Drosophila melanogaster: one gene and its partners. The protein of the gene in region 3 interacts with the protein of the main gene of each other region in a pairwise test. Each region holds a gene or a part of one and is shown on either strand. Other genes may lie near its edges. The genes, in order: CG14367, eIF4E5, mxt and S6kII.

Evidence for each region.
Region 1: the proteins of mxt (region 3) and CG14367 interact in a two-hybrid assay, tested with the Drosophila melanogaster proteins (one large-scale study listed by BioGRID).
Region 2: the proteins of mxt (region 3) and eIF4E5 interact in a two-hybrid assay, tested with the Drosophila melanogaster proteins (one large-scale study listed by BioGRID).
Region 4: the proteins of mxt (region 3) and S6kII interact in a two-hybrid assay, tested with the Drosophila melanogaster proteins (one large-scale study listed by BioGRID).

What each region holds. Positions count from the first base shown.
Region 1 is NT_033777.3:13,692,235-13,696,013, reverse strand, and holds CG14367 (uncharacterized protein), read right to left. Parts: upstream 1,962-3,779; coding exon 1,859-1,961; intron 1,805-1,858; coding exon 1,596-1,804; intron 1,541-1,595; coding exon 1,380-1,540; intron 1,232-1,379; coding exon 772-1,231; 3' UTR 501-771; downstream 1-500. Other genes in the region: f-cup (flyers-cup), read left to right, coding at 1-53, 123-308, 372-477.
Region 2 is NT_037436.4:7,893,153-7,896,516, reverse strand, and holds eIF4E5 (eukaryotic translation initiation factor 4E5), read right to left. Parts: upstream 1,638-3,364; 5' UTR 1,479-1,637; coding exon 1,129-1,478; intron 1,072-1,128; coding exon 884-1,071; intron 831-883; coding exon 670-830; 3' UTR 508-669; downstream 1-507. Other genes in the region: CG32365 (uncharacterized protein), read right to left, coding at 2,023-2,872, 2,945-3,282.
Region 3 is NT_033779.5:4,842,063-4,848,921, forward strand, and holds mxt (mextli), read right to left. Parts: upstream 5,234-6,859; 5' UTR 5,177-5,233; exon of another isoform or gene 5,102-5,176; intron 4,703-5,101; exon of another isoform or gene 4,654-4,702; intron 4,289-4,653; exon of another isoform or gene 4,217-4,288; intron 4,155-4,216; 5' UTR 3,982-4,154; coding exon 3,580-3,981; intron 3,514-3,579; coding exon 3,192-3,513; intron 3,097-3,191; coding exon 3,025-3,096; intron 2,711-3,024; coding exon 2,650-2,710; intron 2,585-2,649; coding exon 2,107-2,584; intron 2,050-2,106; coding exon 1,656-2,049; intron 1,597-1,655; coding exon 998-1,596; 3' UTR 522-997; downstream 1-521. Other genes in the region: CG11927 (uncharacterized protein), read left to right, coding at 5,793-6,859. UniProt on the Drosophila melanogaster protein: Plays a role in promoting translation.
Region 4 is NC_004354.4:22,528,233-22,536,000, reverse strand, and holds the start of S6kII (ribosomal protein S6 kinase II), read right to left. Parts: upstream 6,038-7,768; 5' UTR 5,651-6,037; coding exon 3,499-5,650; intron 3,146-3,498; coding exon 2,562-3,145; 3' UTR 1-2,561. Other genes in the region: CG17600 (uncharacterized protein), read right to left, coding at 6,610-6,731, 6,789-7,259, 7,420-7,768.

The DNA of each region.
Region 1 (3,779 bases), on a different chromosome or scaffold from region 3:
ACGGAGTTTGGTGTCTTGAATACACTGCGTGAACTAAACATTGCAAACAATCGGTGGGTATTGGGAAATATCTTTTCTAAACTATGTAGCTTTATTTAAACTTCCCACTTGTTTATTTTCAGCTTTCCGTGTATTCCCAACTGTGTGTACGAGCTGCAAGGCCTGGAGATCCTCATTGCCAGTGAGAACCACATAAAAATGTTAAATGTATCGGGTCTGCAGAACATGCGACGTTTGAGCACATTGGATTTGCGCAATAACGACATCGAGACAGTGCCACCAATTTTGGGGAACCTGACAAACATAACGTAAGATCCTTGCTGGGGATATATATTGTTTGGAGCCAAACTTATTTTCTCTGTATATTGCAGTCACTTGGAGCTGGTGGGCAATCCATTTCGACAGCCCCGCCACCAAATCCTGATGAAGGGCACTGACGCCATCATGTCGTATTTGCGCGATCGCATACCCACATAGAAGAGCAATTCACACCGTTTTTTGAGAAACACTTCACTAGCAATATGTTTATTTTGAGGAATAGCGTAATGGAAATTGATAGATCCGCTCGACCATGCCCACAAACAATCAATCTATGGATTGGCTGTTTGTGGACATGGATGAGGGGTGGCGTTACAAGTACAACATACGACACACACCGTGCATCAACCAACCAAACTAGTCTGCATGCCACAATACCTAATGCACGTTGTTAATCCTGGCTGAGTATCTGCAATAAATGGGAATAGTAGGGAAAAAAGTGCGTCCTTTCTTTCACTTCTGCTCAACCACTTCGCTGCGCAAGCGCTTGGCAAGATTGCGTCTGAGCTGCAGGGCAGCGTTCTCCTCAGCTTCTAGTGGTGCCGGCATGGAGAGCTCCTTAGTCTGGCCGCCATTCTCGAGCAGCTGTTGGGCCACCAACGCGGAGCTGGGACGTGCTCCTTCCGGTGCATGTGGAGTACCGCGGGACATGGTCTCTTGCAGTTGCTTTGCACGCGTCTGCTTCTTTATCTCCACAATCTTGTCACGCTGTTGGCGCAGGTACTCCTGCCGCGAGACAACATCACTGGGGTCCACACGATCCTCCTGCTCGAAGAACAGATTCAGGCGCTGGAACTTGTCGTTAACCAGCTCCAGATTGGGCTCCTGCTCTGGAGTTAGGGCCGCTTCGGGGCTCTCCAGTTCGTCAGACACCGTCTTGGCTATCATTTGTTCCACCTCGGAGGCGGTATCCCTGTTCAAAGTATAATGTTCATATATAATATATATATGCGATATAGAATAATGACCAAAAAACAAGAAGTATTGATTACTAATTACCAAAACCCGTGTACAATTTGGTTGGCAAAGTGCCTACAATTGCATAAGACATCATTACCCACCCTGGATCCGAGCTAGCGTCCGCACTGCGGTCATCCCCCTCCTCGACGCCACCAGGGGCTAATTGATTTTTCTCTATGAGATCCAGGGCCTGCAGCTGAAGCTCCACGTTGCGTTGCGTCATCATCCGTATGAATATCTTCAGATCGTTGGCGGCCCATATCTGAAAGATGACATCTTGGAGACACGACTGTGTGAGATCGTGCGACCGCACATACCTGCTGGAAAAGCACCTGGTGGAAATGAAAGGGATTCTCGCCCTGACCCTGCTGCCTACCCTCCAGACAGGCCATTTCGAACTGCTCCGGTGATATCTGCATCTCCTCCATGAAGCTGCCGAGCATGTAGTCCACCAGATTCTTGTATTCCTCGTGTATCTGCAGTATGTCCGGATTGTTCTCATCCAACTGCTGGTTGGGATCGAAGACTGCACCAAATCCCTGCGTTACTGGCGATTACATTTTCTGAGTGGACTTCTCACCTAAGGACTTTTGCTCTATGAACGTCTGAAGCGGAGCATTCCAAATGGGCCCGTGCAGGAAGCACACCAGCGAATCGAAAACCCAGGAGTCTTCCACCGACATTTTAGCTACAATTGAAAGAAGTGACTAAACTGCATAGTCGACATTTGTTTGGTCCTTGAATCGGTTGCCATGGCAAATGAAAAACCACCCAGCACCAAACACCTGACAGTCAGGTATTTGCTGCTATATTGAATAAAATAACAACTTGAGAGCTTTGCCATTTGTTTCTGTTTAAAAACTATTAAAAACTATTATTTAATTTACTCATAATAATAATATAGAGTTATATATATCGCATTTTACGCACGGATGTTTTAACAACTAAATAAAATATTCAAATTATAGACGTAATGGGTATGTGTTAGGATTAGGGATTAGACAGCATATCATATACAATACACGATTCATATAAATACTATGTATAAACTATAGTGTTGTCGCTTTACGTTTACGCTTAGTTTTCGTTATCGTTTTCATTATCATTTTGTTTTGTTTTCGTTTCTGTTTCTTGTTGTTATCCTTGTTCTTGTTAATGCTGCTCAATCAAACAAACAAAAACATCAACTTGGAAGGACAAATGTTTGGATACACGTATTCCCCGTCTATTTTATTGGTGTACTATCATAGGTATAGATCGTGGACTTCGGGAGTGGGAACGATCGGTTGCTCGGGGGAAACCGTTTGCAGTGACAAGTTCTTTAAACACTAAAATAAATAAATGTAGTACAGTACGCAACGCACATGGCAAATACGATTATTAACAAATAACTTTATTACTTTCTGTCAGTGTAGCTGTGGGATGTCAATTGGTTTCAGTGTGTGAGCGAGCGTATGAGTGTGGATTGAATTGGATTGGATTGGTTCCAAGTGAGCCCTACTACATTCGTTAAATACAAATTAATATTATAGTTAAATACGAAAAAAACTTACTCGAAAACTCAAGAAGACTATTTTACTTAAGACTTTATTTTATTGTTATCTCTGCTTGCTGATGTCTGTTTGCCCCACATTAGTTTAACTTTACGTCCTATTTGTTATCATTATCATTAATAATTTATTGATGTGTGTTGTGTTTTTGTTTGTGTGTTTCAATAATGCAAGGATAGCGCAACAATTGTTTGTAATTACACAGTCAATTACACAGACAACACATCTCAAGACTCTGGATTTCGAACAGCACGATAATGTGCAAAGATTTCGATATCTCCAAGTGCAAATATATGCGTTTAATGTCGGCGTCAGTGGTGCAAGGGCAGTTATCAACTAATCGCGCATTGAGAGTGACTAAATTATATACAAGGTTCATTGGGTTCAAGTGTTATCTGCATTTAACTCAAGGGGCCGGCTAACAAACTTCGTCAAGTTGGCCCTGGCAATCTGGTTGATATTCAGAAAACAATCGCAATTACACAAAAAACAGAAGCAATCCTAATGGAAAAAAAAACATTTTACTGCTGTGGGAATAGTTTAAATTTTAAAATTAAAAACATCTATTTACAGCACTGCTTGCAATAGAAACTTTCATAAAATGCTTTCGCGATAAGAATTATTTAATGAAATTGTCAAGTGAAAACAGCGCTGTATCGTGATAGTGATAGTACAATTGGCAGAAAATCCATCTCAATGGTGAGAAGGATCGTAAAAATGGTTAAGTCTAGGCTTTAGAACTAAATACACCCTTTTGCAATTGTTATTTAAATATCGACACGAAAGTATTGCACAAACATTCTGGGCCAGCAGCCAACTTCACAGGATCTGTTAACTCATACGATCTCATACGATAGACATTGCAAATGGATGTGCTGGCGCTGGCTGTATACAAATCTCCCTCACCACCTGACCACACCTCCATTGCGCTGGCGCTGCTGCTGCTGTTCA
Region 2 (3,364 bases), on a different chromosome or scaffold from region 3:
AAGTTGCACCTGTCGATAGGAAGGCTCGCAAATGTTGAAGCGTTTGCCCGAGCTGTCGATTGATCATGATTAACTTGTAAATAGTTCTCCATATGTGTACTCCCGTGCCCGTATAATTGTGTCGCGTCGCTAAATGTAATCAACTACTCATTGCAGTGACTAGGGATCGAATTCACGCACGCACCGAACGATCGATTCGGATGGTTTTCGGTCGGATGATCGCCACACCGCAACAAGCTGTGAATGTTTACTGAGTAAATTTTTTAAAAACCCTATCTTACCATATTGATTATAACTCAACGATTTTGCTTGAGTAGGCAATTACGACCCTAAGTCGTAAGGCGTTCAAAGCATGAAGATGTTTAAGTTAATATATGAACAATGATTAAAGGAAAACATTTTTAAATCAAAGCATTTTTTATTCTTAGCTTTGAAGCTGCAAAGTAGGCAACGAATTACACAAACTTCGACAGTTACCACAATCTCACCCGAAAAGATGCAATTGTTGCGCATAGAAAATTAGGTTTTTAATTTAGTCTATAGAACAATTTTGTAGGGGCAATTCCAAGTAAATATTCATATACACCAAGCCAATCATATCTTCCACACTTACGAATCTGGTGTACAAAAATAAAAATATACTAACGTAGAGGACCTAAACAATCGCTTTCAGAGTGTATAAACCGATTTGACGCCCGAATTGAATTTGGACATTGCATCGGAATGAAGTTGATACTGCAAACTATGCGATTGCAAATGAAGGAGTATCTTCAGCTTCTGGCCGATCTCCAGAATGGCCATTTCGTTACTCCCGTTGGCAGTCCAAACCGCTGTAATAGATACAGTTTTTTATCAATGTGCAGAACACATTTGATAAACTTACAGATTTTGTTGCTCTTGTTACGTATATTGATGACAGCTCCGCAGATCTCGTCGGAGTATTCAAAATTTTGGCCCACCATCAGCAGTAGAATGTCCAGCCAAATTTGATCCAATTCCGCTTTGGCACTCTTACTCACGGTGACCAGCCAGCGACCACCCTTGATGTTGGCTTCATCCTCCCACATGGGTCTTTGGGAGTAGAGGATTTAAGTTAGCATCTCTCAATGAACAATGATTTATTCGTACTTTATGCCCTTCTTGAACACGGAGTAATCGCATCCAATCTTCAGCTCCGCTGGGGTCTTGATGGTATGGTACAAGCTCCAGAAGGTCTCCACACTGTCAATCTCGGTAATCTCGTTTAGCATGTCCTTCCAGTGCTTGGTGCGATCGTTTTCCAAATACCACAAAGTCCACACATGCTCCAAAGGATGCTTGTACTCGACTTGGTATATCTCTTCATCGATAGGTTCTGGGCTATTGCTCTCCAGTGGAACACCTTCGTGGTGATGATGATGCTTATGGATACTATTCAGCTGATGTTGCTGATCCTGCTGCTTCATAATATCAAAACTTTGCACTTGTGCACTGGCCATGTTGTTGGTTGACTTGTTTTTTTTTTTTCGATACGAACAGGTAACCTTAATTTATTTGCTGACGGCTGTGTTCTCAACGAATTTTGTCGCGATTCGAGTGGGAATTGCTTACTAATAACCAAAAATACTTTAGCACATTTTTCTAGACCTAAACGAAACCTGTCGAAAAGAAGGAAATGAAATGACAATGACACCTGGGTGTAAGCATACTATGCTGGTTTTTTCTTTTAATATAAATTATTTTTATTCATTTATAAATACTGCAAAACTTAAGACAAATCAATTTACATATTGTTAACATAGAAATGCGCGCTTGGTCCTTAAAAAAAAAAATAATAACATACAAAATGAAAATGTATGCACTCTATTCCAATGGTCAATTAAACACTAAGCGGAGGCACTAGAGAAAACAAATCGAAACAGCTACGGGGTGTTCAAAATAAAAAAAAACACGGTTTTCGTAACCATATTTGAAAAGATTCTCAATTCTTTTAGAAATACGTTAATAAATTATCTCAAGGCTGGTTTTGAATCATCCACCCGTCTAGACCCATAAAACAGCGGCTGCATCCTCGTTGGACAAAGTGGAGAAGCGCTGGTAGCGATTCGCATTGCGATAGGTTTTCGAGGGCGATGGAGCGGTTGATATCTGAGCTTGAACCTGTACTTGAACTTGAGTCTGATTTTGCATGGGCAGCCCCACCATATTTAATCCGGACTTTAGTGTGGAGTTCCTGCTGTCCGAGGACATGGACAGGCGTCGCTGGTTTCCATTCATCAAGGTGGAACTCAGGGGCAAGCCGACATCGTGAAAGGAGCTAATCGAACTGAAGCCACTCTCATCCTCGGTACTGGAACCGCTCTGCTTATTGCTGGTGGTTTTGTTATTGCTATTGCTGATGGCTGTGTTGCTGGCGGTGGTCTGTGTCTGCGTCTCCTCATCCGTTTCCACTTTCGAGGAGGAGGATGCCGTCGACGAGATGGTGGAATGCACGGAACTGTCGGTGGAGCTGCGCAACGATAGCCTCGAGTCGCGCATGTTGTTGGCCCGCAGAAAGATGAGTTCCGCATTTGATTTCCCGCCCGGTGATGGAGTCTCCAGTGTGGCACTCATGATACTGGTGGAATTGTGCAATGGTGGCGTCAGTAGTGTCATCACCGAACTGGTTTTCCCCTTGCATAGGCGGTGATTTCCCGAGGGCAGCGATGAAATGGAAGCGAGCGAGTGGCGCGGCTGCGTGAGATCTGGTTGCTGTTCCGAGGTGTGCAAAAGATTCCTTATGGTTCTGGCCAAACGAAAGGCCTCCTGATTCAGCTTTTCCTCGGCTGCCTCAGGAGCCGATAGACGTGACTTGCAACCGCCACTGCCTCCAGACTTCTTCGGGGATCGACGCCTTTGGCAGAGAGAAGACATTTCGTTATTAATTGTTTGAAAATTATTAGCACTGCTATTGATCTCCCCTTACCATGTAAAATCCTTGAAGGCATTATAGCTTCCAGCTGGTGCAATCGTCTCGTAATTGTGCTCCTCGTCCATGGCATGCATTGATTTATTCAACATCAAATTGGTGCTGCTCCGGGCGCGTAGATATGAAGCTGATCCGCCGCTGGAGGCGTCATCATCCCGAGCATCGCTCTGCAGGGAGGTGTTGCCCACTCCGTGGACATGATGCAGACTCTTGGAGCGGGCAATCTGCTCTCCATTGCGTTGGGTCTGCTGGAGTTGTTGCTGCAACTGGTAGCGCTCAAAGAAGCGGGCCACCTCCTCCATCACCGCTCGGTACATCTCGCAATTGGTTTCGGTCTGAAATTTAGGATTATAAAGTGATTTAGAATACTTAGGGATTGATAAGTGGTAGTTTTTACGCATAATGAAGATAGATTAG
Region 3 (6,859 bases):
TTTTTCAATATTCTTTTTTTTTTGTTTGTTTTGTTTTGGTCGTTTTGAGTTTGCGATTGTTAGATGTGGCCATGGCCAAAAGCATTGAAGCATACTGCAGCTCCGTCTGGGAGCAGGCACTTCACCCCGGGACACTCTATATTGTCAGTTCGAGCCGCTCGATTGATGGCTTTATTCGTCCAGAGTCTCGACCTCATCGGCAGCCACAATGTCTCGCTTGGCGGCCGTCTTAATGCTGGCCAGATACTTATCACCATCGAAGCGCTGGCTCTCATCCTGCAGATCCTGTTGTCGAACAAAGAAATGGTTTAATATCTGATTTCAAAGTAACATTGACACGCAAGCTATCCAGGGATGAACGAACATATATACATACGGAACAGTTTAGTAACTAAGTTAGCCATCTGGAGTGGTGGTTAGGTGGTGATGTTATGATGCTTCGGTGGTAAAACACAAGTTACAATTTATAATTTACAATGTGTGGGGTGTGTGGTGGTGTAAGTTAAACCCAGCCAAGCTTTGTTACGGACTTTGAAAGTCCTGTTTATTAGTTAATATAAATCGTATTGATTACAGATTTGTAAATGTTGGTTTGAATTCGAGAATGTTTGTTTGTTAGCGGTTAAGCGGTTTCAACCGCCTTTCCAGCTTATCCTTAGCGACGACTTAATCTGTTTCACAGCCAAAACACAGATTCTCCCTATAGTTACATTTTAATTTCAATGCATTATATGTATTGTTACCTCTAAGACTAGCGATCGGTTTGGTTTCGATGGTATGTCGTTAATCTAATGACTGGATGATGATAATGATAATGATGTATTGACTTGATTCATTATCAAGTTCTTCACGCTTCACCTTTTCTTAATGATAAGTTATATAAAATTAAAACAGCAAAAATACTGACATGAAAAGAAAAGCCTATCTGTGACTGAGATTCAATAATACGTATTCCGGCTACGTAAAATTAAATTAAATTAAATGAAATTAAATGAAATTACACATAAACGCGGTTATTATTCGATTCTGTTTCGCACAGTGCCAATGAAAACTCATCGTCCTCGCAGTAGCGTTGAAAAATTGCCTTCACTTGTGATGTTTGATAGCTAGACTGGCGATGCTTTCCTTGTGTTGCCACCGATTGACCCACAGTATTAGTTATGATTTGCAATTGCTTGTTATACAGGTTTCGATCGGACACGGCCGATGTTTTGGGAAGGCGACGGTTCTCGCGTTCGGCGAAGATCCCTTTTGATTGCTTGTTAGTGACGGTTAGGGGATTGTTGTCTGCCGACGCATCGACAGCAGCTAGTCCAACGGCGGTGCTGATGATATTTGTGTTCGGGGAGGAGGTTATTGCATTTAAAGCCCACGGATGTGTTATTACTGATGAGTTAGGTGCACTGGCGATGATAGCATCGGGGATGTTCGAAGAGTAAGCCGTACGGCCAAGTGAGCCATCGAACGGCGAAATTACCTTGTTGCGCAGAATCGAGGGCGCTGTCTCCTGCATCTTTTGCCAGTCGGTGGGCAGGGTCCACGAGTGCGGACTCATGGAGTAGTAGAGCAAGTGTTCAATATCGTAAGAAACGCGAGCTGTAATTTAAGTTTAAGCATCAAAGACTTGGTTAAGCATAAAAGGATTGTAATCTTACATGCATTGCTTTTCAAGGAATTGGTGCCTGCCAAATCGTCCAAGTCACCCTTTTCCCGAGCGCCCTTGGTCTCCGGCGTGGACTCCTTGCGCGAAAAGTGGCTGCGACGCGATCTGGCCAGTCCATTCTGATTGCTAGTCGATGATCCTCCATTGCTGGGCTCAGCGAACACCTCGTCGTCGCCTTCACCATTGTTGTTCGCTGACGAGGAAACAACGCAATTCAGTCCAATGCCACTGTCCGTGCCGGGCAGCCAAAATTGCGGCGGCCCGGCTCCGGGAAGCGGAGTCGATGGCGTGGTCACCAGCGAAGTGCCGTCGAAGGCGGCGCCAGCCTCAATGGATGCCAGAAACTCCGAGCTGCTAAAATAGTCATCGAGCACGAGTTTGGCCACCTTGAAATCGCAGGGGATTTAACAAATTTCACAATTGAAAACTTCAACATTACTCACGCGCACTAGTTCGCAGCAGTCGCCGGTGATCTTGATCAGGTGCTGGCCCACGTTGACCGTGAACTTGTATTCACCTACGGAAGCATCGTTTGTGGAATATGAGTGCATTAGCAGCTGTTGATTGGGACGCAAGACTTTACCGGCAGCGGCTGTCGCCTGAGCATGTGCCGCCGCTGCTGCTGCGGCGGCTACTGCGGCGACCTGCTGCTGCTGTTGGTGCTGCAGGTGATGCGTTTGGTGGTGCATCTGCTGCGAGATCTGCTGTGCAGCAGCTGTGGCGGTCATGAAGTTTTGGGCCGAGTTAAAGCTTAGCCGGTTGGCCAAACTGCTTCCGGTTGGCGTTCTTGGTTGCACAATGGCGTCGTCCGAGTTGGACGAGTTAAGCGAGGAGCAGGATCCTCCAACGGCAGGAGCGGGTTCCAGGCGCACCGGCGAGGCGTTCCGACGAATGGTGTCCTCCATAAGTTGTTTGGCATAGCTGTCGTAGAATTAAAACATTTTGACATAAAGGTAAATTAGCTTTAATTTATTTACTTTACTCACTTAATTTTATCCTCAGCTGGACCAGTAATCTGCACCAAACGCTCCTTGGCACCCGGGTTGACTAATGAAAACAAGGCATTCATAATTGTTCTCGAAAAAAGCATTTATATTTATGAAAAATAATTGGGATGCGAAAACATTTAAAAACAAAATGCATATATACAGTATGAAAATATGTGATTTCAAAATGCCTTTAACGATCAATTTTGGCTTAATGTGGTGTCGTTGAATGGACAAAATCTGGAACATGCGTATTTATAATTTCTATTAGTAAATTTTGTAGAAGCCACCGGGCATTAATTGATTTAAATAAGCGTGCCAAATGAAATGGGGGTGCGGTGAGGATCACAATTAAAACCAGCTCTCTGGAGTTACCTCTTTGAAACGATATAATGGTTTCGCTTAGCTCCTCGATCATGTGCACGCGACGCCCCTTGATGCCCATTACTTTTTGGCCACGGGAATGGAGGAATACATTATTGAAAACCATTTCTGTAGATCTGTGTGCTCCAGAACACTCCTCAGCTGATTGAAAAACTTACCTTTGCCGGAGTCAGCATTGCGAATCACGACCTCGTCCTTGCAGTACGTCTTGCCAGGAATCTTGGTCGGTTTGGGGAACTTGCCCGAATTACGAATGACCTCACCGGGCGGCAGCAGCATGTGCTGCTGGTTGGATGTGCCCACGGCCGCAATGGCCGCAGCTTGGGCGGCTGCAGCTGCAGATGCTGCATTGAAGACGGCGGCAGCGGCGGCTGCGGCTCCATCGTTAACGCCACCAACACCGCCGCTGACGCCGAATGTGGGGGAGGTGCTGAAGGCGCCAGGCTGCACGCCGGCATCGTACTGGTATTCCGAAGGCAGCTGCAAAGCAACGATACATATTTGATCGTTTTCCAAAGTGAGATCGATTCTATGTACTCTACTCACCTCCACGTTGGAGATCTGCTGCTTGGACTTGTAGTACGCGATTGTGTCGTCATTGTCCCAGCTCTTGGCGCGCAGCTCGATGAGTTCGAGCAGCTTGAGGCGCGTCGTTATATTCAGCCGTTCGTCCTGCGAAGCGTTGCGGAAAACGACGAAGGCCCGGTCCAGTGTATCCTTGGACACCGCCTCCAGTTGCGGTCCATGCACCCGGAGGTTGTGCAGGAGCAGCGTGATCGATTCCGGCGTGGTGTTGCACGACTGAAGACCGACGGTCACGTTGTCTATCAACTGGATTAGCTCCTCGATCACCAGGTAGCTGTTCTTCAACGACGATCGCGATTGTGTCTTCAACGGGCGTGGCGCCTCAATGTTTTTCACGGCGCGTCCCAGGTGTGTGTGAGCCATTCTCGGGATTCGTTGGATTCGATATCGTCTCGTGAAGAAGTCTTAAGGTTGTCCCGCCTGGTGTCCGGATCTGCTGATTTCAGTCTATATGGTCTGCTAACTTATTCGTTCGTTTAAATGTTGTTGAAGAATTGATCAAAAATGAATCGTAGAAGCTGTTTCCGCACCTCCCCCTGTAAACACAAGAAAGGTTAGTTATCGATCAAATGTATTGTTTACATTAAAACTATTGTACTATTTGGATACATGCTTTCAGCTGCTAGGATGATCAAAGCCGACTATATTGCATTAGAACTTGGGAGTAATGGCCGAGAGCATGGACAACCAAAAGGTTTCTTAGGATATGGAGATTGGCCTCGTTTCCGACCGAATCTCGAATATTGCGACGCAAAGCTCTCGTATATCTTAACGATGTGCACGTTTGATAAGCGGCTTTAGCTGATAACACCGCGATTTATCTATAGTTTAGTGGCCAAATTAACCCATTGGCGCCTTCTGAGCTTCTGGCTTCTGCTCAGTTAATCGGTGCGAAGTTCCAAAAGCAAAATATGTAAATAATTGATGAAAATTGTTGGCATATATCGAATGGGAACGACAAACGGACGACCATTTGTGTTATTTCAGTTCGACTTTCGCTCCATGCGAACAACTCATTTCTTTTTTAAATATCACTTACTGCCGCTGCAGCAACAGCAGCAGCAGCAACAACAACAAGAACAAACAAACATGGGCAACTAAAACACAGCTAACAGAAATATTACAAAAAACTGAAATTGTCCGTGGGAGGGAGAAAGAGAGAGGCGATCGCTCTATTGAATCATATGTCGAGAATAGCAACAACAAGAATGGCCTCTGCCGACGTCGACGATGGCAGCGCAGTTGACGACCGTGTTGGGCGTAGAACAAAAAGGAAGTTAACTTTCAGGAAACAGGGTCTATATATCCATATATTGCATCCGTTTTCGGCCAAAATTCTCTGTGAAATTGAGTAATATTTTAATGGCACTGGCCGCTTTTCGTTAAAATAAGCAAACTACGCGTTTTGCTGGCGACCGACTTTGCACTCTCGTTCTAGTTTCAACACTTTTGATGTTTAGTCTTCGTCGCGCTTATTATTTACTTTAATGGCCGATTGAAACGTCTCTTAAAACGGTGTATTTTGGATCGTAATTTCCAATAAATTACTAGAGCTTACCAAAACCAAAATCTCTGCGACTGCGACTAAAATCGTTTTTTACGGTGGGTGTTGCCACCTGATCGAACACGTTAGATTTTAGAGATGCGCCACAGCTATCCAGACCAGTTCACGTAAAGCGCAGTCAAAAAGCTCACATCAATTTCGCATCACAGATGTGTTCGTATTAAAATTTAAATTTAAATATGAAATAAATGTTACGAAATCAGACACTTATCGCTGATAACCAACAATTCACTATGGTATCTGGACGCTGGGCAATTACTATTCCCCGCCGGTTGTGTCTGCATGGGATCGAAAATGTTAAATATATATTATATTACGTTGGGCATTAATATATCGCTTACTAGTTAACAAATGAAGATTTACTGGTATAGCGGAAAGTTTAGAGAATACATTTGGAAACTACTGTTCTTTTTTAAGAACAACAGGACTCTTAAGAAAATACTTCAGGGGAAACTCCCTAAAATTTTAAGCACGAAAATATCGATAGAAAACATCGGCTGTTCCTTCAATTTGTTGTTATTGAAATTTTTGTTTGCCATCGCTAAGCAAAACTCAAATAAAATTAAGTTGATATATTTATAAAGTGTATTCCCACTCTCTAAGGTGCGAGATGTCTGAAAACGGGGACGTGGAGGCGGCACCAGAGGATTCCAAGGAAGTCGTTCCGGAGTCCGGCAAAGATGAGCCTGAAACTAAGCCGCTGAAAATGTCGTTTGCAGATTGGAAGAAATGCAAGGATGCACTGAAACCGGATACCAAAAGCGGACTACAACGGAGCAACAATAACAATAGTAACAACAACAACAATAACAACAACGGCAACGGACGTAAACATTGGTCTTCGAATAGCAACAATGCCTTTCATGGAGGCGGAGGTCCGCAAAGCTACCAGGACAGGAACTATCCTCCGATGAATCGACCGCCTCCACTTCCTATGCAGCTGATGAACATGGGCTTTGGAGGCAATTTTGGGCCTGGACCCGGACAATGCGGTCCCCCCATGGGGCCAATGGGACCAGGAGGACCTCGCGGTCCCATAAGCAATATGGGTCCCTGTGGTCCCATGAGCAGTATGGGCCCCGGTGGTCCAGTGGGCTTTGGAGGACCACGTGGTTCTGGGCCCCGCCGGAATCACAATCACCGACCTCTGCAGCCGCCTCCGTTCTGGGAGGACATGATGTCGCCACAACATAGACCACCACCAATCCAACCGCCCATGCCCAAGTGCCCCAGCTTGTGGAATCTGGTACCCAAGGAGCAGGGAGCACAAAACAATCGCAGCAATCCAAACCAGAATAACAAGAAATTCAAGGTAAACCATCGCGGCAACAGTGACAAAGATACGAGGCTTATGCCTCCGCCCCCACCGCCAAGCAATGGCAACAATTCGCCGTCAAACGGGGAAGCGCAGCCCTCCAAGAAGCCCAAGCGCTGCGGCACATTTGTCCAGGTCAATGGCCAATGGATACAGAAGCCAGAGGCACCACCGCCGCTCGAGGATGCACCGCCTGGTACGAAGGAGGAGCGCCAGCGCCAGTGGAAGGAGTACCGTATGGCCATGAAGCCCTTTAAAAACCGTGAGTTCCACAACTGGAAGCGAACGGTGCAGCGTTTGGGGAAGCTGCCGCGCGACCAGCTGGACGAGCAGCAACTGGAACGACTACAGAAGGCCGAGGA
Region 4 (7,768 bases), on a different chromosome or scaffold from region 3:
AATGTATTTTGGATATCCCAATTAGATCGAAACAATTCGAATTGGTTATTTGTTTTTCAATTAGGTTCCTTCTGCTTGGTTTGAAAAATTCAACTTAACAATAATTTCGAATCAGTTTCGTTGAATATGTTTATTAATTAAATGATTCATATCGGAATTCAATCATTTGAATGTATGTATAGTCTGGAAGCTGTTAAAATCTACTAAGAAAATATATTCACGCATTCATATATATGATTAAGATATATATGTATGTTCTTGGGGAATTTAGTCGAGAGTTGGCTTTAAAGTGGGTTGCTTGTATTGTATGCTTAAACTATCTGTTGTCTCTGTCCTTTTTGTGCAACCCGAACATTTTTGTAAGAGACCGTTCGGAATTATTGATAAATGATTACAGTTTTTATCATAGTAGGCCACTTTTGTATACATGAGTTTTAATCTAATCGCTGGATTAGATTTCTCATCAGCCCGTGGACTAAAATTCTTTTTCTGCCTGTCTCAACTTCGTTTTATAATTTGTGTATGAATCTGTTAAAAAACGAAGCAGGGAAACGACGTATCCCTTCAATTTGGTTGTCGTCATTTCAAAACAAGGTAATTAAGTATAAATCATTGCTGTAGACGCAACATATTTTGCAAAAGTTTATCGTGACAACTATTAGGCGAAATGTTCATCTCAAGATCCTTCTTAAATATTTTCTATATTATATGTCAATGTGTACACATTGTTTTCCCTCCGCAGCTAGCTAATTATATATGTACTTTAGGATAATCATACCATTTTCCCCCTCCAACTCCTTTTAATAACACCACGAAAATACAGTTTTATTCAAGGGATGTTATCCTTTTTTAAAAAATTTCTAAGTTTTACTAACCTTGTTTAGGTGGTGTAAATATGTATATGAAGTTATTGTTTTATTTTTGGTAGCAGTAAGTTCAGTAGTGGCACAGCACAATAATCCTTTAGCACACACACACATGCACTTACAAGAAGCACACACACAGCCTCTTATGCACACACACAAGCTCGCAAACAAGAAACTTCTGCTTTTCAAGTGGCATACATAGCTTCTAAGGATTCACATGGCTCTTCTACATAATTTATTCAATTTCGTTCCACTTTGCTTGTATTTTCTTTTTTTTTTTTTGTATATTTCCCTCTAGCATAATTTTAACAAGTTTTCCTTGGCAAAAATACAACAAAATTGGAATTGTCTTCGAAGAGTCGAAACAAGTTGTTGGGAACTGATGATCGTGCAGTTTTTAGAGAAACTAGCACAAACAAATGGAATTCTCTGCATTAACCCAAGTCGTTTATACGACGCTATCCTATTTGTATTCAGTACGAGTATGATGGAATATATCGCGGTTTCGGTTCTAAATCATCCAATGGTAAGTCGGAACTTTCTATATCTGGTTACAGCGCAAAAAGGTATATTGTTTGATATAATTTCTGTTGGAAGACGTTAGCAAACAAAATGGAAACCCAATTTGATGTTGTCACAACTGTTTCCCCGGCGTTATTACAACTAAACTGTGCGTTTCGCGACTGTAAGACAAGTTAGCAGGATTTACGTTTCTTAATTACAATTAAATAACAATATGCACCCTTGTGCAGTGTTGGAAAGAACGTCGGTTTTTATTGTTTAGGGAATTATTAATAAAATACTCTTTTCTAATATCCTTTGCCTTATAAACCCGAAAAGCACAGTTTCCGCTTTATGTACACATTCTGTATAATATGGTAGTTATGTTTATCTTTTGCTTAGTTTCATATTTCATTGTGCAAATTGACATTCCAAGTAAGAATTGTGGAAACTCTTGTGGTTTGATTTTCTTATCTTTCTACACAGTTTTTTTTGGGTTCTTTGTTCTTCCTTTATAGTTTGGCGAAAAAAGTTATTATTATATAAAAGGATTGCGGCTTTTATTCTTAATTTTTGTTTGTTTTGCTAATACTTTTTTCCATTTTTTTTTTCATTTTAATTAATTTAATTAAGCAACAATAACACGGTGATGTTGAAAAATTTAGCTACGATTAATTTAATTAAAAATATGTAAACTTGGGCGAGAGGCTTTTTTTTAATTTCCAGTTTGGGATAAATAATGTGGTTTCAGGAATCATCTGGGATGATCCTGGCGCCACATTCACACGCGCTCTCTAGGCCCTTGCTTTAGGATTCGTTATATAAATAGCTATATATAGATGTATATCAGTATTTGTATAGTTATATATATGTGTATATAGATGCCCCGCACAGTGCGTTATGGCCTTGGCATATTGGCATGCTTTCATATAAAATAAATAATTAACACTTGTCAAATACTTTAGGTTAGGCCGATTCCCCCAAAACCTAAACCACACGCAGCTTGGCGCTGCGGCAGCGTTGGCGAGGATTGCCCAGCGTTTGTGGATGTGAACCAAGCTTCTGCGCATTGTCCTTGACAAGACGACGCGGATTGGCACAGCAGCATTGGATTAGAATACTATAGATTCGGAAAAGTAGTCGGACTATCTGCCGCTTGGCCTGGCGCCGCGGACACCATGCAGCCGCCCAGGATTAGGAGTGCAGGTTGGCTCGATCTTTGGCCCGCCTCTTGGCGAGCATGGAAAGTTCTACGGGTCCCACATTCGCCGCCTGGGGTATGGCAATAGCCCGGAAAGTGGCATCAACAGCGCCTCTTAAGGCCATGGAGATGTGATTCTGCTGCTGCTGCTGGGCGCCCAGCGAAAGTTGGGATCCGGGCGCCACCGCATACTCTGTAAGCTGTACGCCGCCGGCGAATTGCTCCCGCAGCCAGTCGTGCTCAAGTATTCGCGCCGCCGTCGGCCGATTCTCCGGTACTATGTGTAGCATCTGACGCAAAAGTTCTTTGGCCGGCACACTGATCAGTGCCCAGCGACTGCTTGTGAAGTCAATTTGTCCTGATCCGATGCGCTTCAGTATTACGTCCGGTGAATCATTTGGAGTGCTGGCGAAAGGCGTCCGGCCGGATAACATGATGTAAAGCAGCACACCGAGCGACCAGATGTCGCAAGCCAGGTCATAGCCCTGTCTCTTTAGAACCTCGGGAGCCACAAAATTGGCTGTGTAGCATGGCGTCATCAGGAGGCCGTTGTCCGCGCGCAGCTGCTTCGCGAAACCTAAGCGGAAATCGGAAGGTTACTCCTGCTCTACCAACAAGAAATACTCGCACAGAAAAATATATAGCCTTGCAGAAATAAATGCTTTCTGAATTTAAATATTATCAAATGATTTCAATTGCAATAGGATGGAACTTTGGCTAAATAAGATCTTAAAATGAAAAACCTTCTGTTTGGAGAAAAGAAACCTTTAAAATTGCAAATAACAAAGTAACTTAGAAAACAAATAATAGTTAAAGGAATTAAAAATTACGAAAGTTTAGCTTTTAAAGTGAATCATGTTTGTCAGCAATTGGAAAATTTACTGCAAGGCTATAATAAAATATATTTAACTAGTTCCGCTCCGCACTCACCCAAATCGCAGAGCTTTAGGGTCTCGGGAGTTTGCCGCATACTGGCATATATCATATTTGAAGGCTTAAGATCTCGATGGACCACGCCATGTTCATGGAGATATGCTACCGCAGATGCAATTGTCCTTAACACCGCGCTGGCCTCACTCTCGCACATCTGGCCCACGGCAAGTATCCGATCGAGAAGCTCGCCACCCTTAAGCAGCTCCATCACAAGATATGCGGACCCCGCATCCTCGTAAACAGAGTACAGAGTGACGATATTTGGGTGGTTGCCGTACCTCAGCATAATCTCCACCTCCTCCCAACAATCGGCAGAAGTGGATGTGGATGCTGCGGCCACAGCTGCCTTTTCGATTACTTTTACTGCGTAATGTTTCTTGGAGGCTCGATGCTCGCACAACCGACAAACTGAAAAGGTTCCACGTCCCAGTTCTTGCAGTAGATTATATTCCGCATGGAAGTTTCCGGGAAGAACACCAGGTAATGTTCGAGGGGCTCCCACTGGAGCAGCAGGAATAGGAGCTATACTATGCAGAGGACTGGCGCTGGTGGAGCACATATTCGAGCCAGCACACTGACCTTCCAGAAGGACAGGAGCCACAAAGCTGAACCCGCGGAAGATCTCATGGGCAGATGCGGAGATCGGGCCACCCGGAGAATCCCTGGGGGACTTTGAGGTGTACTCCACATCAAAGTAAAAGGCATCGTCACGGCTAACCGCCGGTATGAAAGGCGGACGCACCTGCTTTCGTTCTAATCTCACCCAGTCGATGGTGGCAAAAAAGCAGTGCGCCTTGATGTCCAGAATTCCTTGGGCACCCGCACCCAAACGATTCTGGGGGTTTCTTTTGAAGAGAGCACGTAGCAGGGATTGCGCCTCTGGCGACAAATTCTCCGGCATGCCCAGCTTACTTCTAAGGATCTGATTCATAGTCTCTTGGCGGGTTTGGCCATGAAAGGGTAAATTCCCCGTTAACATTTCGTACATGAGCACCCCGAAACTCCACCAATCAGCGGCAAAATCGTGTCCCTTTCGGTTCACGATCTCCGGCGCCATGTATTCTACGGTTCCACAAAAGCTATATGTTTTTGAGCCATCCAAAGGCTGCTTGGATAGACCAAAGTCCGTCAAGGCTATATGGCCATGCTCGTCCAGTAGAATATTTTCCGGTTTCAGATCCCTGTAGATAATGCCCAATGTGTGTAGGTGATTCATAGCTAGCGCCAGTTCCGCTAAATAGAACTTGACATCTTCTTCCGTAAACATTACTTCTTTGGATAGACGGGTAAACAGATCACCGCCACGAAGAAAATCCAGTATCAAGTAGAGTTTTCCGGGAGTTTGGAAGGCATAGTGAAGACGTACGATGAAAGCATGACCCACGTCCGCTAGTATTTTTCGTTCATTTGTGCTCCTTACGCGATCTTTTACTTTTAGGGTGGCCTTTTTGAGCACCTTCATGGCATAGAGTGTTCCTGCATCTTTGCCTATGATCTTTCGCACTAGAAACACCTTTCCAAAGCTACCTTCGCCCAGAACCCGTAGGAGCTCGAACTGGGAAGGATCGGCCTTGTCGTGACCCTCCTTGATGACTTCCTTAAGCTCGAATTCGTTTTCTGTTTCATATAGGGGCTCGGTGTCTTCTAAATCAGGTGCACTTCGCCCAGTAGCCCCTTCTCTCCTACCGCCAGTTTCCACGCCTCCCTGGGACTCGGAATCACTCAGCTCCATAAGTTCTGGCGGCGGGCACAAGGTTCGATGCGTCGGCCTTTTCCTAGCGGAATCCAAGTCTGCTGTTGGTGAGATGTGATGCTGCTCGAGGGCCGCTTGCAGAGCAGATTGCTGTTGCACCTGTTGCAGCTGCTGGCGGCGTTGCGATGATGTCACAGTGGTCACCGAGGAAGTGACACCGCTGTTGCCTCCGCCACTCTCATCGTCCTCGGTGGGCGTGTGCTCCATGGGCGTGACCGCCAGGCTGCTGCAGCCGGACGAGGTAATTTGCATGCGCTGGCGCAGCTGCAGACCCAATCCGCTGCTGCTGCATTGCTGCTCCGCATTGTTGCTGCTGCTGGTGGAGGACACATGCTGCTGCTGCTGCTGCTGCTGAGGCTGCTGGCGGAGATCCTTTTGCGAATCGGCCAGCGGCATGACTTCGGTGGCTGCTAGCGTTGTGAGGCAACTGCTCCTAGCGGTTCCTTTGTTTCCAGATCCTGATGCACAATGCTAGAGCCCGAGTTCCCCCTGCGTTTCCAACTCCTCCTGCTGCTCCTCCTCCACCGAACTCTCCCTACTTCCGATTTCACTTTTCTTTTTTATTACTTCCGCTGCGTGGGCGTCGCAGTCGACTGCGCTGTTGCCTCTCCGGATTTCTCTGGTTTCCCTGCTGCTCCTACGGCCAACAAGCAGCGCTTTCCTAATGCGCCCACGTTTCGTACGCCGTCTGCTTTACTATCCGCTTCGCAATCCGCACAGCTGTGTTGCTTCTTATCACTATTATTTACACATTCACAATAAAGTTTTTTTAGAGCTGCAAAAAAATCGATGTTACCATCGATTACATCGATAGTTTCAGTTTTCCGAAAACATCGATTTACTTTTTGCAGCCGATGTTTTTACTGTGCGTATTCAGCAAATTTTTGTTTACACTTTTAATACATTCTTTCGGTTTTAAAAGTCTATATAACTCAATTAAAAAAAAAAAAACATATAAATATAGTTTTATTTGAGAATGATTTGGCCCGTGTGACCGTGTCTAGCAATATACCAAACGCGAAAAATACCAATTCATTACGAAAACGTCGTCACGAAACAAGTTATCTTGTGTAAACCGTCTAAAAACCGTTATTATAAATTTCTATATCCCTTTTATATTGATTTCCGGAAACTTTGCTAAATAAATACAACGGTTTTGCAGACTTACTTACTTATATTAGCCGCAACATTCCAAATTCAATTGGTAAAAAACTAATGGATATCGTACAAGCGCTTTTAAAAACAATAAAAAAAAAAACATTGTGCTTATAGATTCAGTATTATTATTGCTTCAAAAGTGGACAACAACCACTTTTCATATATAAAAGTAGGAGTAGTAGGAGTAGCTTACTTACTTAGTGCAAATCTGAAGGGCGCAACGATAGACGGATACAATACTGACCACAAAATGAAGAAACAGGGCAAAAATTAGGCCGCAGGCAGCGGAAACCTCGCTGTTGGTATCGATCAAGTCGAACTAGAATGGATGAAACCATTAAAAAAACATGCCTCAATGCGAAGAGCCCGGCTTTACCTGTTCACCCTTTTGCTCCGCCATCCTGTTGAGGTCCCTTGACAATCCCACGCCGGAAATAGCCAGAGCCAGGGTGCTGCTGGCGATGCAGACCAAACTGAGGGCCAAAAACGCTGTCTGGGTTTTGCGCATGCTCACCACTCCAAGGGAGCCCGTAACGGCTGCTATCAATCCCGTCCAGATGCCGCATCCCGCCAGTGAGAGCGCTGCCTCTCGGACGATCAGAAGTGATCCCAGGGCCACCAGCGATATGGCCAGGAGCAACTGGAGAGTGCCCAACACTATTTGCAGTGGAAATGCCGAGCAGCATTCATTGCTCGCCTTGCGCTTGCGCCGATCTTTCGAGGAAAGCGATGAGCCACTGCCTCCACCCTCGCTGCCCTCCTTGTACTTAATAAATTCCGGTGGACAGCGCTGTTTACGACTGATCCTGGAGTCCAAAGTGGTGGCCCCACTCTTAGTGCCATTCACCTGCACAGAAGAAAAAATGTGTTTGGTACAATATTCGATTGTCTGAGGATTAATGAGAGCAAGGCAGTACAGAAATGGACAATTAAAGATTCTCTAGCCCTATTAGGTGATTCAACTGATACAAATTGATTAATTTTGGTTGACTTTTTGTAGGACCTACCTGGTTTGGTTGCCGCGAAGCAATAGCTTCCTGCAGCTGTTGTTTGAACTCTTGGTGCGAAATAAGATTGGGCTTATTATCGTCATCATTGTTTGCCTGGGATTTTTGGGCATCCAAGTCTAGGGCGGCGGATAGGAGTTTCACCGCCGGCGGCTTCTCATCGTAGACAGGACTCGAATAGATGTGACTTTGGGCATCCTGGCGCGCCTGCTCCTGGTCCTCCTGCTGTTTTCGATTCTCATCCCGTTGAAGCATGCCGATTTGCGAGTTGGTCAGACTACCGCCCGATCCCGCCAAGTTCGTGGTATTCGTGCTATGTTCGATGGTGGTCACCACCTGATGGAGTTCC